Linked DNA regions of Drosophila melanogaster. The protein of the gene in region 1 interacts with the protein of each later gene in a pairwise test. Each region holds a gene or a part of one and is shown in the gene's direction. Other genes may lie near its edges.

The links. The genes of interacting proteins can lie anywhere in the genome.
Region 2: the proteins of CG17162 (region 1) and Gnpnat interact in a two-hybrid assay, tested with the Drosophila melanogaster proteins (one large-scale study listed by BioGRID).
Region 3: the proteins of CG17162 (region 1) and Pp2B-14D interact in a two-hybrid assay, tested with the Drosophila melanogaster proteins (one large-scale study listed by BioGRID).

What each region holds. Positions count from the first base shown.
Region 1 is NC_004354.4:23,093,703-23,098,704, reverse strand, and holds the start of CG17162 (uncharacterized protein), read left to right. Parts: upstream 1-1,970; 5' UTR 1,971-2,272; intron 2,273-5,002. Other genes in the region: su(f) (suppressor of forked), read right to left, coding at 1-91, 150-425, 590-912, 974-1,009.
Region 2 is NT_033777.3:29,738,457-29,742,418, forward strand, and holds Gnpnat (Glucosamine-phosphate N-acetyltransferase), read left to right. Parts: upstream 1-1,894; 5' UTR 1,895-1,948; coding exon 1,949-1,963; intron 1,964-2,111; coding exon 2,112-2,322; intron 2,323-2,383; coding exon 2,384-2,511; intron 2,512-2,572; coding exon 2,573-2,634; intron 2,635-2,693; coding exon 2,694-2,913; coding exon of another isoform or gene 2,914-2,976; exon of another isoform or gene 2,977-3,241; coding exon 3,242-3,283; 3' UTR 3,284-3,311; coding exon of another isoform or gene 3,312-3,353; 3' UTR 3,354-3,448; downstream 3,449-3,962. Other genes in the region: Wdr24 (WD repeat domain 24), read right to left, coding at 3,791-3,962.
Region 3 is NC_004354.4:16,554,113-16,561,668, reverse strand, and holds Pp2B-14D (protein phosphatase 2B at 14D), read left to right. Parts: upstream 1-1,652; 5' UTR 1,653-2,261; coding exon 2,262-3,974; 3' UTR 3,975-7,042; downstream 7,043-7,556. UniProt on the Drosophila melanogaster protein: Calcium-dependent, calmodulin-stimulated protein phosphatase. This subunit may have a role in the calmodulin activation of calcineurin.

The sequences.
Region 1 (5,002 bases):
GAGTGTGGGTGGGACGGCTGGCAGATTGCGATTGAGACCCTTTGTGTGGTATTCCAACTCTTTGGCAACACGACGAGCGTTCATGTAATCCCTGGTTTTAAGTTGGAATTTAGAAAGAACATTTAGCAAACTCTGCGTATAACACTCACTTAGATCGCTCCAGACTCATCTTCTCTGATATAATCGGGTTTATGTTTTGCTCGAATGCGATATAGTCCTTCCACAACTGCTCGATGCCCACGATAGGTGTGACTACAGCCTTTTGATAGACGCGGCGCACTGCTGTGATCTTTTGGTTCTCTGCATAGTTGCCCACTGCTTCAACGCCCCGCAGAAAGTATATGTAATCCTGCCAGATGCTGAACGAGTGTAGATCCATGCCGATTTTCTCCAGTGCAAAATCATAAGCCTGGGCCATTTTTTCTCTGAGAAAAGAGATAAGTCCAATAAAATAAGCGTGTCAGAATAACACAAATGTTGTGCATCAAAAAAAACAATATGCTCGCTGCATTGCAAGTTTTGACTAAAATTATAATAGTTTCTAAGATGTCAAATTATGTGAATTATTTAAATAAGGTATAACAGTTACTTGTGAGTACTTAGACCCGACTTGGTTTCCTTCACGTAGGTAAGATAGAGCTTCCAGAGGTCGATGTTCAAAATCTTGACTAGGCAGCGTTGAAAAAGTTTCTCCACGCGTTCATAGTACCGGCTGCGCATCTCCATCTCAATGTATAGCTTCCAGTACCGAGCGGTTGTCGGAAACACATTAACTAGCGACTCGTAAAGACTGCGTACTTCGTGGATTGGCCGCGTTTGGGCCTCTCGGATCATGACACTCCAGGACTCGATGTCATAGGGCCGCAGCTCCACCACTTGCTGAGCTCGCACCAGGCGCTCCATGCCCCATTCCTTGTCATCGATAAGTAAAAATATGTTGTTACCATCCAAATAAAGCCAATGTTTTACTTACTATGTCGACTTTGATAAGGTCTCTGGCCGAAGACATTGCTAATAGTCTTTGCAAATTGTCGTTGAGTCCTGCTTGCGCTGCTCCTTGGCCCGGGAAAGTTCCTTTCTTCCGTTGAACTTTCGCTACGCAATTACCTAAAGCAACGCTTGGATGCCGCTTTTCCGAATTCTTTTAGAAGTTGCAATGCGGCTGCTTAGATATCGACGACTGATTGGATGTAACTGCGATAGTGTCATCGCCAATCACATCGCGGGCCTTACCATTAAAATCCCAAGATTTGGGATGTGTAGTACAGCGGTCACTGATTATAAACTATAAATAAAAAAGATATATGGTTTTAACATACTTTAAAGGTACTAAATCTGTAAATAATGAATTCAAGCAGAAGCAATATTTTTTATAGCTTGTTTCCACTGAAACATTTTTCTGTACGTTGCTAAGGTGAAGGTTGTTAACAGATACTTTGAACCGTTTAAGTTCTATGTAATAGTAAGTAAAAGAGGTAATATTTAATAAAAAGGCATTTTTAGGAAGCCTGGAATTGTATGCCTAGTAGCGTAACTAGGTACGAATTTTTCCTGATTACCCTATAACATTATACATTAAAACAATATAACATAATATGAGGTAAAGGTATTCTTGGTATTGTGGTATTCGAACAAACATAACTATGAAAACACACGAAAACATTATAATTTAAGTCAATGGATTGTTCTTAAATGTTTTAGACACGAGTCCAAGTGATAACAAAATTCAACAAGGTTAACGGAACTTATTTTTTGCTATAAGAAATAGAAAGTGAAACGCACCTTTCTTCAGCAACTGTAGTGTTAAATTGTTTTAAGAATTTACTTACAGAGAAATGTTTTATTGAAATTTAATTTTTTCTTTTGTTGTTTCTTTTTCATGTTGAGGGTTCAACATTCCCACAATTTAACAGTTTAAGGAATACCCAGAATCTAACCCTAGAAATAGATTGGTATATTTATCGATATTAATTCAGTACCAGTATGCGGTCACATTGGGTAAGTGTCAAAAAAGTTTTAAAACAAACGCTAAACAATCAGGAGTGGCAATCAAACGAAACCAAGCGCATTTATTAGCCGAGAGATAATTCGAGTTAAATTCGCAACTAGTATTAGTATCATTCATTGAAACCGATTTATTAAACTGCCAAGGTAGACAAGACACACACACATGTGCGTGTTTCCGGAGAGCATCACAATCATTGCAGACCTAGAGGCCAACAGCTGTTGTTGATGTCCTAGCGGTATATTTACGGTTTATAGACTTCGACAAGTTAGTGAAATTATTACCGTTCCTGGGTCACTCTCCCTTACCTAATACCTCTGTGGGTGTGTGTGCTAAGGCGCAATAAGTGTGTCACACTGACGCGGTTTTGTGTTTCAAAGTAGAACAAACACTGTGTGTGTGTATCCCTCACATATGCATTAGCTTTGTCTCTGTTATATTGGCCAATGTTTATTCCTGCATACCAGAAATAAATAAACAAAGAAATCATTCTCTAAGCTGTGTTGCAAGCACAAAAAAAATTTTGTCTGCAACGATAAGTTTTTCCCTTGATACAAATATTTATATATCTTTTGAGCCATAGCGTTTTTTCATTCTGCAAAATTAGTTTTATTCAATGTGGTTTGTATTATGTGTTTTTGACTATCAAAACTATCAAAAAATCGTGTATTAAGGGGACTTTATACCGTAAAAATGTATGTTGTCTTACTAAAATATTTTTGTTATAAAAACTTAACTTTCAAAAGGGATTTAAAGCGAATGCAACAAAACTCATTCATGAAATATACCTTATTTTGTAGCTTATTTAATTCTTGTTTAGATAGTTGTAATTAAAAAGTGCATTCTTTGCGATTTTCGGAGAAATTATAGTTTTTAGGTCCTTACCCTACTTGTTCAAATGCAGAGTAATTTTAGCTAAAAGGGAGTTAAAAATGCCTGTTGGTGAATTGATTCATTAATTTGTTATTATGTTTGTGTTTACTTTTTTGTAAAATAATTCAATATGCAACCACTACCACGAAATCAGTTGTTCTTTGCTTGGACTAGAAAAAGCATACGAAATTAGGGAAATACCTATACAAAATTAGTTAATTAAATATAAGAGGCGGTGCCACGGCCACAATTTTTGGTATCATAAAAGATAATGGCAAAAAAATTTAAATATCTTTATCCGTTCTAGAGTTACAAACTACAACAAATATAAGGGGCGGTTTCAGAACGGATATATTGTAACCCAATCTGAATATCTTTCAACGTCCTGGAGTTATTCATTTTGGGCAGAAAAAGTGGTAAAATTTCACATAGTGGTACGTGGGCAAGTTTTGAAATATTCGCACACCCTAACGACGGCAAACCGCCCAAAAGGTTCACACCCACACTTTTGTGAAATGTTATAATTATTTTTCATTGCATTTTTTGATTTTTTGCTACTTTGTATCGCTTTGCCAAAATACCTCCACCATCTCATTCGAACGCCAACCAAATTTTTTAAATATGTTTAGACTTTTTTATTTGGTTATTATACCCGTTACTCGTAGAGTAACGTAGATTCGTTTAAAGGAATGTAACACGCAGAAGGAAGCGTTTCCGACTGTATAACGGATCAATAGCCGAGTCGATATAGCCATGTCCGTCTGTCCGTATGAACGTCGAGATCTCAGGAACTATAAAAGCTGGAAGGCGGAGATTTAGCATGCAGATTCTAGAGACAAAGACGCAGCGCAAGTTTGTTGATCCATGTTGCAACGCCCACAAGCCCACGAAAAAATGCCACAAGCACTCTTTTGAAAAATATATTGATATTTTTTCACATCTTTATTAGTCTTGTAAATTCCGATCGATGTGCAAAAAAAAACTGTTTGCCACACCCACTGTGACGCCCTTAAGCCGACAAACCGGTCACGCCCCACTTTTGAAAATTGTTGAAATTTTTTCTCATTTTATTCCCCAACATCTTTTGGTATCGCAGAAAAATATCTGGGTTAACGGGTATCTGATATTCAGGCAACTCGACTATAGCATTCTCTCTTGTTATTCTAAACAATTTTATGGATATGACAATCAAGTTTCAAAGTTTCTCCCTCGTTCTCCCCTTAGTTGAGTGGCGCTAGTGGAGAAAATCTATAGCGGTTCCTTTTGTTATTTTAACTTTTTTCCTAAACTAATTTTCCATAACAGAGATAAATTAGTTGGAAATTGTCAATATATTTCTAAATTAATTTGCTTTCTTTAAATATCAATTTATTTAATAGATAGAAAATTCATTTCGTCCTGTCTGTGTTACCAAAATATTTAGAACACTTAACAAAAATTCATATAACGTTCTGTTATATGAATTGCTGTTTGATTAACGAATGATTAAAACGTTTAAAACGTTACGTTTCGAAAATCAGAAAAAAGGAAAGAAATGCATACATTATCTTAACTTCAAAGCTTTTAAAGTTTTCGAGGTGACAGCCCCCTTACGGACAGACAGACTTTACCATATCAATTCGGCTAGTGATCCTAATCAGGAATATTGTACATATATATGTATATGTATACCGCATTAAAAGAGCATACAAAAAATTTCTGAATTCTACGACATCGAAATACAAAATACAAAGATAAAAAATACTTGTAGAGTAAAAGGGTATAGTTGATTCGTTGGAAAGTATGTAACAGGTAGAATAAAGCGTTTATAGCTTCAGTTTCAGGAACTATAAAAGCTAGAATGTTGAGATTAACCATTACCACTCTAACGCCCACAAACCGCCCAAAACTAAAAAAATTTGTTTCATGGTTTTATAAGTCTTGTACATATCTACCAATTCGCAAAAAAAAATTTTGGCACGCACACTCTACCGCCCACAAACCACCCAAAACTGTCACGCCTACATTGGAATAATTTTTAAATTAGTTTCCATTTTATTATTTTGGTTTCCAATTTCTGCCGATATTCTAAAAGACATATTGAAATATGTCGTTCCACCTGAGTAACGATAGCTGGGGAACTCG
Region 2 (3,962 bases), on another chromosome or scaffold:
GTTACGAGTAAAAAAACCACCCGAGGCCTGCTGCGCAAGAGCCGTATGGGTGAGTGGACGCACAGTCAACGATCGGCCGCAGGTCATTTTTTGTATGCGGGCTGCAGTTCTCTGGTCATTTTTTGTACGCCTAAAATTTGTATGGGTGGAAGCGTGACGGGTATAAGAAATGAAGGGTAAAAGGGAATACCCAAGAAAATTTTTGTGCTCATGTCTTTGCTCTTTGATGGACTCAATGGGTGCCTCCCATTTCAAACACATAAAGTAATTGCAATTAAAGACGGCATTTGTTGATTTTTACGTTTTTTAATGTCTCAATCTAAATAATAAAAACATAGTGGGCTTAAAAAGTATCTATTAAATATAAGGACTTAATGTTGTTGGATCAGGTAGTAAGTCATCGACGTCTACCTGTTCCCCATAGATAGCGCCGATTTGTAGGAAAAACTTCACCAAATTTTTAAATCCGGCTCCGGTTACTGCAGAAAACGGCCGACAATCTTGGACAACCCATTGGGTGCATTTTTCAATAGCTACTTTCTTGTCGTTTTCCGAAACAATTTTTAATTCCGTTGGTCGTCTTAATGTTAGACAACATTTATGGCGGGATAAATTGGAGGTGTTTTTGTGTAAAAATTTGAGCACTTTCTGGCATTGCCTGCAGAACAGCCATCCGTCCAGAACAGTTTCATCTTCCTTTAAAATGTCACATAAAATGCTCCAAATAACACTTTTTCCTTTATGTTTATTGGCAACTGAGTATGTTCCATTGTTAATTTTATTTTTAACGAAATCAGCCGCTTCTGCCATTATTGTGACCTTTTCCTTTGGCTTCCAAATAATACTGAATCCTAACAAGCTAGTAATTGCATCGTAAAAAACAAAAAAGGGGCAATTAACAGCCGAGACACTGGACCAAAGACACAAGAACTCAACAATCATTATGTATGGCGCCATTTGACTCGACTACCTACGAGACCACTCGAGTATTTTTGGAAACACCCGAGTATTTTTGGAAACACCCATGTGTTTAACGGTATACCCACAAGTGTTTTTCTCACTCATCCCTTTTTAGGCACTGTGTGAGCGGCACCCGCGACGCAAAACACCGTATTGATTCGGGTGCGCACACAACGGGGTGTCTTGTCTGCATGTTCAGATTTATACTGTGTGTTTGTAAGTACCCGCGATGTGCGTGGCGAGTAGCACCCGCACACAAAATTGTAGGGTGTGAGTCGAGTGGTAAAAAAGTGCCACCCTTGCAGTTCTCTGGTTGAAACTGCAACTTTTTTACCTTTTCCAGTTGTTTTTAGCCTCTCTTGACTGCCAATTAGCGCCTGGCTTTCTGTATTTCAACGGGAATTGTGCGCGGCTTGTGTTTTTCGCTCAGTCTGCTCCGCAACTTCGACCGATAAAAGCGGCCGGAAAAACTTCCGCTTCATTTTGTTAGTTTCGTTGCGGGAGATTGGGAAAAGTGCTAACGGGTGCTTCACTATCATTATCAGACATTAGATAAAATCATGGTAAGAGGCTTTTAAAAATAATTAGTGGCACATAGATACTTTCTGTGCAATGCCGTACGAAAAATATATGAAAAACGTGACCATGTGGCAGTTCAGTCACCGCGACCTCGAGCCCACGTTGTTCGTTTTAATCCTTGCTGAAACCACAACAAACTAAATCGATACTAGTCGGTGGATCTACGCACTTTACCGGTTTGCTCGTACTATGTAATTTATGCGCCAAAAATAGGAGAACTGAACGTAAATGATAGCAAATGAGGCAAAACCAGTTGGCCACCAACGAATCGAAAGTGTTGGGTGCAAGAAACCAGTTCTTGATACCATTCCTGTTATCGCGGCTCCACCTTCTTACCTGTTGACTGAGTTTTACCTTCAGTTTTGCCTCCATCGGCGTCACTTGCTGACGTGTGAAGTCCACTGCGAAAATGGTGCAACTTACGGTAGTCGCAATCACTAAAACTCAGTCCATAGAAAGCATCCCTAATCAGCAAATCACTCATAAATCTAGTACATATGTACAATTATCTCCCATCTTGATACTATTTTAAAGATACTATATACTTAAACTCTATACTTTGAATTCTACAGGAGGAGACATATCTGTACGATCCTAATCTGCTGCTAAAGCTGGACTTTCATCGCAGTCCCGCCAACTTTAAGCCCTTCATATCGGCGGCCAATCCCGGCGAGCCCTGGATGAAAGTGCGTCCTCTCAAGGACACCGACTACGATCGTGGATTCCTGCAGCTGCTCTCGCAACTCACCCATGTCGGCAATGTGAATCGTACGCAGTTCTTGAGTGAGTCGTGACTTTCAGTTAGGAATGTAGTATTTGTACTGACCACCTCCATCTTTTCTAGCCCGCTTTTCGCAGATGAAAGCCAGTGGGGACTACTTTGTCACCGTCATTGAGGACACTCGCAAGAATGAGATTATTGGAGCTGCATCCTTGGTGATCGAGCGCAAGTTCATCCATAACTGTGCTGTGGTAAGTGAAGAAGATGAGAAAAGGATCCATGATTTAGCTTAACTTATGATTCATTCTTCAGCGTGGCCGTCTAGAGGATGTGGTGGTCAATGACACGTATCGCGGGAAGCAACTGGGAAAACTGTAAGCGTTGTATATCATTTTCCCAACAAGAAACATTAATCCGCGGACTTACTATTCAGGATCGTGGTCACCGTATCGCTGCTGGCCGAGGAACTGGGCTGCTACAAAATGTCGCTGGACTGCAAGGACAAGCTGATCAAGTTCTATGAGTCGCTGGGCTATGTGGCCATTCCCGGAAACTCCAACTCCATGACGATTCGCTACGATGAGGGGCCAACGCTCAAGCGGAATGCTACCTCAGCCGGCTCCAGTGGAACAGTGGGCGACTCCTGCCAAACTGTGAGCCTCGATTTTGCCTCTTGACAATTAGCCGCCAACGCTGCTCCAAAGTCCAAGCTTTGAGTGGGAGCACCCCATCTCAAAGTTACAAATGCGCGAAGCGCAATGCAACAAAACTAAAATTGGATTCTAAGAAAACATTAAATGCATATAGGCATTGCCAAAATTCCATTGCGCTGAGGGCATGATGGATTTTTGGACAGCGCTGGCTGGCGGTGGTGTCCTTGTGGACGGACGTGCTTGTCCACCCACCCGCGAGGACATACAATTAGATATTTAGTTAAAGACAACCGCAACATATGTTGCTCTCTGTTTTTAATCCCTACAGAACTCTCAATTTTATAATTTTTTCTCCCCTTTCTGCTACTGAATGTGCGGCTCGACCTCTCAACTCCAAGGTGGTTGTAATATTACCTTTTAAGAGCACCTTCATCAAGTAGCCCTAAGATTGAAACACTCGCATAACTGTTAAACTGTTATTAACACTAATCAACAATAGCGATTAAAACCCAATACGAATCTTTCAAAAACCTTTAATGATTGAAGAAATTCAATAAAGTGGACACTTTTTTCAAAAGCCCAGAATGTTTATAAACTTACTTGCATCAACAGACAACAGTTTTATTTTCCAATATTTCAAAAAAAGTTAAGTAACAAACATTTGTGCTATTTAAAGTTGCAGAAGATCGATTAAACCTGTCTGTTAATTTACTTCACAAACGTTGAGCTTATTTTACAAGTTTACATCTTCGAGCTACATTTATATAAAAATCTGTTTAGTGTCTAGTGCAAGGTACTTATTGGGCTTAAGTCTTCTCTATTTACAAGGCTCTCAAATGGGGGGCAAAAGCTGGGCAAACCCAGCCTCCTCCGCGTCTCATGAGTACGCGCAAAGGTGTCCGCACTTGGGGCACTTGGAGTGTTTGGCAAAGTACTTCTGCAGGTGCTCTATGTGACCGCCGTGGGAGCATCCTTGGCACCAGGCGTAGACTCCCCGGACGATCAGACCGCAGACGCAGCACTTGGCGGACTGCATGGACTTGCACTTG
Region 3 (7,556 bases), 6.5 Mb from region 1:
TTGTTTTTCGTTTCCACTCATCTCATCCATTGCAATGCGAATGAAAACCTTTTCATCATATGTATGTATGTATGTAATTATATACGTTACCTTAATTTTTTTGATACATGTATTTTTCAACATCTACTTCCTGCCCTCGAATGCTTTAAAAACTTTACACGAAAAAGAAAACAATTTAATATATATTATAAACAAAAAAGAAATGGACAAAGAAAAGCAAAAACAAAAAAAAAACAAGAAAAACCAAGTGAAGAAAAAACCAAAAAACAATTAAAACTTTACCTTTTGGATAAATCAATTTAAATGCATATTTTATATATATTTAAACATTTATTTATATATAACATGTATGATAAATATAAGTTGGAAAAACTTTGTCAAAGCAAAAAGTTTATATACTTATATTAAAGAAAAACAAAAAACAAATGGATGGAAGATGGGAAAGGAAAACCAAAAACCAAATAAATAATATTAAAAATGCAACATAACAAATTAACAAACAAGAAAACATCACATCTAGATAAATCTCTTAAAAATTTTCAATTTTATTATTAAACCGAAACCAAAGTTAATGGATAAACAAATTTATAAACTGTATTGCAAGGGGCAGCTGGCTGGCAAAAATTACATAAAATTTGCGCCGTTGTGACAAAAATTGTACGCAATCCAAGGAAGATAACAAATTAATTTACAAGATAAAGATGATGATAATGGAGATGTAGACGATGGAGAATAAATGAAGGCAACAACAAAATGCAGACAACAAGTTTTAACCTTAAGTGAATGCAAAACAAAATGAAGAAACCCAATGAAAACAAAATGATTATCAATGTTATTAACATAATTAATATTAACAAAAACGAAAAAAAAAGAACAAGCAAAAAAAAAAAACAAAAACAACCAAAAAAGAAATACAAAAACATTAAAAAAAATATACAAGTACCTATCCTGAGAATAAAATGCGCGCACATTTATTATTTCCTCTAAAAGTTCGTTTGAGTCGATTTCGCCACCGGGGAATTTCAGAATAAGCATATACATATTTAATCCCGGGAAGCATATCCACCAGTAGAAGGCTGGAGAAGTGGTGGACTGAGTGAGTAATGTCCAGAATTTGCTCGAAAATTAAGGAAGAGGTAAGTGTAAGTGGGGCGAAACCGACAGGTGGCCAAGAATTTCAATAATGAGGTTTTTACCTATATTGATAAATTCAGCATCTGGGCTCTCATATTCTCTAATTTTAATTCATTTTATAATGTTTAGTTAACTACGTTTAAAGAATAATTAAGATGAACGGCTTAATTGATAGCTTAAGCTTTTTTAAAATAAAATGTTTTCCAGTTGACATTTTGAATATGTACCAAGTCCAATTGGATATAATTATCAAAGTTTAGCACCTTGTGGTACATTGCTGTGCGGAATTTGTTCAGATTTTAATTTTGCGCCACCATCTACATCTTTAAAGTGAATATATTGTTAGAAAGGAGATAAAAGTAAGCGTATTCATTTAGAATATTAAATATACAGAGAAAGATATAATTTTGCACGTACCTTACTCGACTACTTCCATGACTTCCATTCCAGGTGCGAGTCTCGACTAGAGTACACATTCCAGCGGCCGTGTAGTAAGTTTGAGCTTTTGAGCCACGGCCACACTGCAGAAAATTCCATTAAAAAAAGCGAGAAAAAAAACGTAGCGAAAGAGAGAAATTACGACGTCTGCAGGGCCGAAGCGAAAAAAGTAGCAAATACTGAAACAGAGTGACTATGATTGTTGTTAAGTGAAAGCAGCACTTTTGGAAAACGGCTAGGCCAGCGGCGCAGGCCACGGAAGAAAGCAGCGGAGTCAGCGTTCCAAAATCAAAGCAAAGCCAGCGGAAAGTAAAGGAAAGCGAATCAAAGCTGGAAGGCGATAAAGCGGCTCACCAGGCACTCCAACAACAACAGCAACAATAGCAACAACAGTAGGAGCAGCAGCAACAACCACACAGCAGCAGCAGCAGCAGCCAGGGAAAGTACCAGAGTGTGAGTGAGTGAGTGAGCGAGTGTGCGTGTGCGTGTGTGTGGGTAGTGGAAACAGAACTGAGCCGTGAGAGAGCGAGAGCGGGAGAGCGAGAGCGGGAGAGCGAGCTAGTGGAAGTGGGAGCGGGAGAGGAGCAGTCCGATTCCGAATCCCGGAATAGAAACCAGGAAAAAGGAAACGGGAAGCAGTAGCCGTAGAAGCAGAGCCAAAAACCGAAACAGAAACAGAAGTCTCAACCATGTCTTCGAATAACCAGAGCAGCAGCGTTGCCCAGGCGGCAACAAGTGCCCGCACCGTCAGTGCCGGATCGGCGGAAGCCACAGATGCCAATAGTACCGCCTCGAACAACAACAATAATAGCAGCAGTACCGCTGCAGCGGGCAACAACAGCGACAACAGCAGTCCCACCACTGGAACGGGCACAGGAGCGAGCACTGGAAAGCTGCACGGCGGCCACACGGCAGTAAACACCAAGGAACGGGTGGTGGACAGCGTTCCCTTCCCGCCCAGCCACAAGCTGACCTTGGCGGAGGTGTTCGACCAACGCACCGGCAAGCCCAACCATGAGCTGCTCAAGCAGCACTTCATTCTTGAGGGCAGAATCGAGGAGGCGCCCGCCCTGAAAATCATCCAGGACGGAGCCGCCCTGCTGCGTCAGGAGAAGACGATGATCGATATTGAGGCGCCGGTGACGGTGTGCGGTGATATCCACGGCCAGTTCTACGACCTGATGAAGCTGTTCGAAGTGGGCGGCTCGCCCGCGAGCACCAAGTATCTGTTCCTGGGCGACTACGTCGATCGGGGCTACTTCAGCATCGAGTGCGTCCTGTATTTGTGGTCGCTAAAGATCACCTATCCGCAGACGCTGTTCCTGCTGCGCGGCAACCACGAGTGCCGGCACTTAACCGAGTACTTCACCTTCAAGCAGGAGTGCAAGATCAAGTACTCGGAGCGCGTGTACGACGCCTGCATGGACGCATTCGACTGCCTGCCGCTGGCGGCGCTAATGAACCAGCAGTTCCTCTGCGTGCACGGCGGTCTGTCGCCGGAGATACACGAGCTGGAGGACATCCGGCGGCTCGACCGCTTCAAGGAGCCGCCCGCCTTTGGCCCCATGTGCGACCTGCTGTGGTCCGATCCCCTGGAGGACTTTGGCAACGAGAAGAACTCGGACTTCTACACGCACAACTCCGTGCGCGGATGCTCGTACTTCTACAGCTACGCCGCCTGCTGCGACTTCCTGCAGAACAACAACCTGCTGTCGATCATCCGGGCGCACGAGGCGCAGGACGCCGGCTACCGCATGTACCGCAAAAGCCAGACCACCGGCTTCCCCTCGCTGATCACCATCTTCTCGGCGCCCAACTATCTCGACGTGTACAACAACAAGGCGGCGGTGCTGAAGTACGAGAACAACGTGATGAACATCCGGCAATTCAACTGCTCGCCGCACCCGTACTGGCTGCCCAACTTCATGGACGTGTTCACCTGGTCGCTACCCTTCGTGGGCGAGAAGGTCACCGAGATGTTGGTGAACGTGCTGAACATCTGCTCCGACGACGAGCTCATGACCGAGGAGAGCGAGGAGCCGCTCTCCGACGACGAGGCGGCGCTGCGCAAGGAGGTGATACGCAACAAGATCCGTGCCATTGGCAAGATGGCGCGCGTCTTCTCCGTGCTGCGCGAGGAGTCCGAGTCGGTGCTGCAGCTGAAGGGCCTGACGCCCACGGGCGCCCTGCCCCTCGGCGCCCTCTCCGGCGGCAAGCAGTCGCTCAAGAACGCCATGCAGGGCTTCTCGCCCAACCACAAGATTACCTCGTTCGCGGAGGCCAAGGGCCTGGATGCCGTCAACGAACGGATGCCGCCGCGGCGGGATCAGCCGCCCACGCCCAGCGAGGATCCGAATCAGCACAGTCAGCAGGGCGGCAAAAATGGGGCTGGACATGGGTAAGCTGTGCCATCTAGTGCGGCTGCAGGACGAGGATGCAGATGCAGATGCGGCACGGTGGAGTCTGGCGAGGTCTGAATTGGTCTGAAGGAGGGGCTGAGTGGAGCGGAGCGGAGGCAACACAAAGAACACCAACCGAACGGAACCTTAATTAAACTTAATGTGGCAGAGCAACAACTTAAATACTAAAACCAATTCTAATTCTAAGTAATTGTCATAACCCCCTGCATTTCGTATGTGATCCCGCACCAGCTCCATGCCCATGTCTATGTCCATGGCCCAGAGCCTCCAAACCGACGGCACGGAGCAGAGATTTGTTTTTACGCAGGCGCGCGCACATTGGATATTAAAATTATGTGTGGCATACTTTGGCGCGCCGGCCCCCAAAACGGAAAATTCCCTTTCGCGATAGAAGAAAACCAACCCATAACGTAACCCATAACCTAGCTTAAGTTGTAATGTATAAACTATAAACTGAAATGGGCAAATTTTAAAATGGAAAATGAACAAAACGGAAAGAGCTAATTGAAATCCCTCCCCCTGCGATAATGCGATAATTTAAGATGAAAAACCCCAGCAGAATCCCCATAATCCCCAGAGGCAAGAAACACTAATCCAATTGAAGAGATATGGGAAACAAAATCCAGCGCTAATCTGTTCCAAACATTTAGCAGCGGCAAAAAAGAAGCGTACATATATGTATACATATGATTATTTAGAAATATCGAGGCGCAGTGCCGAGATGCAACCGAAAGTGTAATGAAATTTGAAATGAGCAAAGGTCATTTTTTGTAATAATCGTAATCCTTGAACTCTAGAAATGTAATCTTGCATAGAAGAAACGAATGAAACAAGCAAACAAATTCGAAACCATTTGCAATATGTGCCGCAATAGTCCATAAATGTTCCTTATACGAATTAAACATTGAAAGTGAAATCAGAGTTTATTTTTTTTTTTTTAAATATATACTTAAATATATGTATATGTATTATTGTTGCATAATCTAACTTTTGACTTAATATGTTACATTTTACGTGTACGACTGTGTGTGTATAACTAACTATTTGCGTTTTATCAGTAGCTTGGCGAACAAAAAACAAAAAACAAAAAAAAACCAACCAAATGGCAAAAGCAAAAGCAAAGAAAAAGCAGCAAAAATCCATAAGAGATCACACAAGATGATAATCGTTGTTTGAGGATCACAGTCTAGCTAATTAATAAATTGATGAATAGGATCGATCGATTTCCATTGATGTGAATGCATTTTGAACACTGAAAGAACGGATCGTTTACCATTTAAATAGCAAATCAAATATTTAACTATTAAATTACTGTGTAAACCTAATAACGTATAATATATTTCTGCGTGTAAATTGAACTAAACGATTAATTAATTAACTAATTTAGCGAATCGATTTTTGTTGAGAGAGAAAGAGCGCTAGCACACACACACACACAAACACAAAACTTATTTTCCTTGACTTAGTATGAGCTAATTGCAATGAGATTAAGCGAATGAGATGTATTTAAGTAAGTATAAGGCATGGCACACACATGAGAAACGGATGAGTTTCGGCGTTTCAGATCAATTCAATGATAATGATGGCAATCAAGTTCTCAATTTGCGCCTACACCTCTTCCCAAAAACCGATGATATCAGCTTCTCCTTTATCACTAATCACAACCACTATCAATGCGAAATCAAAAGCTATAAGATATACCACATACATACTCACGCAAGAAATGCCTTCATCGAGATCATATTATCCACGAACCAAGAATATTAACGCTGTACTTTTGCTTCGACTCTTCAACCACCAATAATTGCATTGAACTCTAATCTAAATATTTATACAGATATATATATATATTATATACCGAGTTGGCATTGGAAAACAGTTAGTTTTAGTGATCTATGCACGTATCGTAACAATACCAAGATTAATTAAATCGTAGCTAAAAGAAACAAATCAAGGATGAGGCGGCAGTCGCAGAGTTTCCCTCTTAGCTTTTATAAAAAAAAAAAAGATGGAGAAATGGAAACAACTTACTCAACTAATTGAGAGATACACCATATTTATATAGATATATATATAGCGTTTTTTTTTTTTGTTAATCCTCCACCACAACTATATAATTATTGAAAGTTGATGAAAGCTGTTGGGCCGTTTAAGTTTCAGAGTTTCTGTTCTATATGTGGTTAAAATTGTTAATGTTGTTACACCGCAAATGCATACTTAGTTAGTTAGTCGAGTGAAATGGGAGTTCCCCCAAATCACATTTAATTGCAATAGTCTCGAGTATTGAACGCCAAGAACACCAATTCCATAGAATGATTGTATACACTCAGAAAATCAATCGGCATTTATGTTCGAAAATCGCCGCAAATATTTTCAACAAGTATGGGTTTTTACGGATTTAAAATAATGAAATTGAAAACTAAATTCCATATTGTTAGGCTATAAACAAATGTTTCTATTGATGGACAACATTTCAGGTATAATTTTTGAAAAACAACAAATATTTATTTCAATTGTTAATACCAAAATACGCATAGGTCAACAATTAAGTTTTAATTTTTTTTTTTTAATATAGTTTAATTATCAAAGAACTATACATTTTAAGCCATTAAACGTAGGCAATATTCAGATAATTTTCTGAAATAAATTAATTGTAAATTTTGGATTCTCTTAGGGCGATTTGCATTCCGAGTGTATCAAGAGCCATGGTAAATAATAAAGCTAAGAAGTATTAATAATTCTACACTATGTATGACTAACAATACATTTGCTTAGTTCCCTCGATAAAGAAAGTACATAACTATTGCATGAGGCATAGGCAAAACTTCCTGGCACATAGTAAAAGTAAATAATTGAATAGAACGGCTGAGGAGGAGATGAGTAGATTTTGATAATATGTACGTCAAGACCATGCCAACATACTTATGGGAACTATTTAAAAAGCATTAAAACGTTCAATATAACACATAATACCCAGACAAAAGCAGAATCAAAAAATGCGGGAACGAGACGGCTGCATGGTATATACATACATATATAAGACATTTCGCCTCTTAAAGCAATTATAAAGATAACAAATGAGTAACGTTTATTATATTATTAAATTATACATACATATACATACTATATAAACGGAATAAAATAAATCAGCAACAAACTTTCCATTTTATGGCGTTCGATCACTTAACTTTTTATCCTTGGGAGCAGTATTGTCAAGTTATCATTTTTCTTCTTAATTGCTTAAATTACAATTCTTTAAATACATGCATGTATTCAATGATGGCGCCAAATTTTGAACCTGTTTTAAGTCTTAATTCAAGAATATTTTTCCAAGTATGAGAGTGAACGAGAGGCAAGAGCGCAAACGAAAAATACCAGAAATCAATGTGAGTATTTTGAAATTTCAGCAATTGCCGAATTGGTTTTTCAAATAGATGTGATTAGTTGTTAAATTGCCAAATCTTTAATCCAATAATTTAATTAATAAAGTCTTAATTGAATTGAAATTGTTTTGTGTAAATCCTGTGCAAGTAACATATATTACTAATAAACTTGTATTTTTTA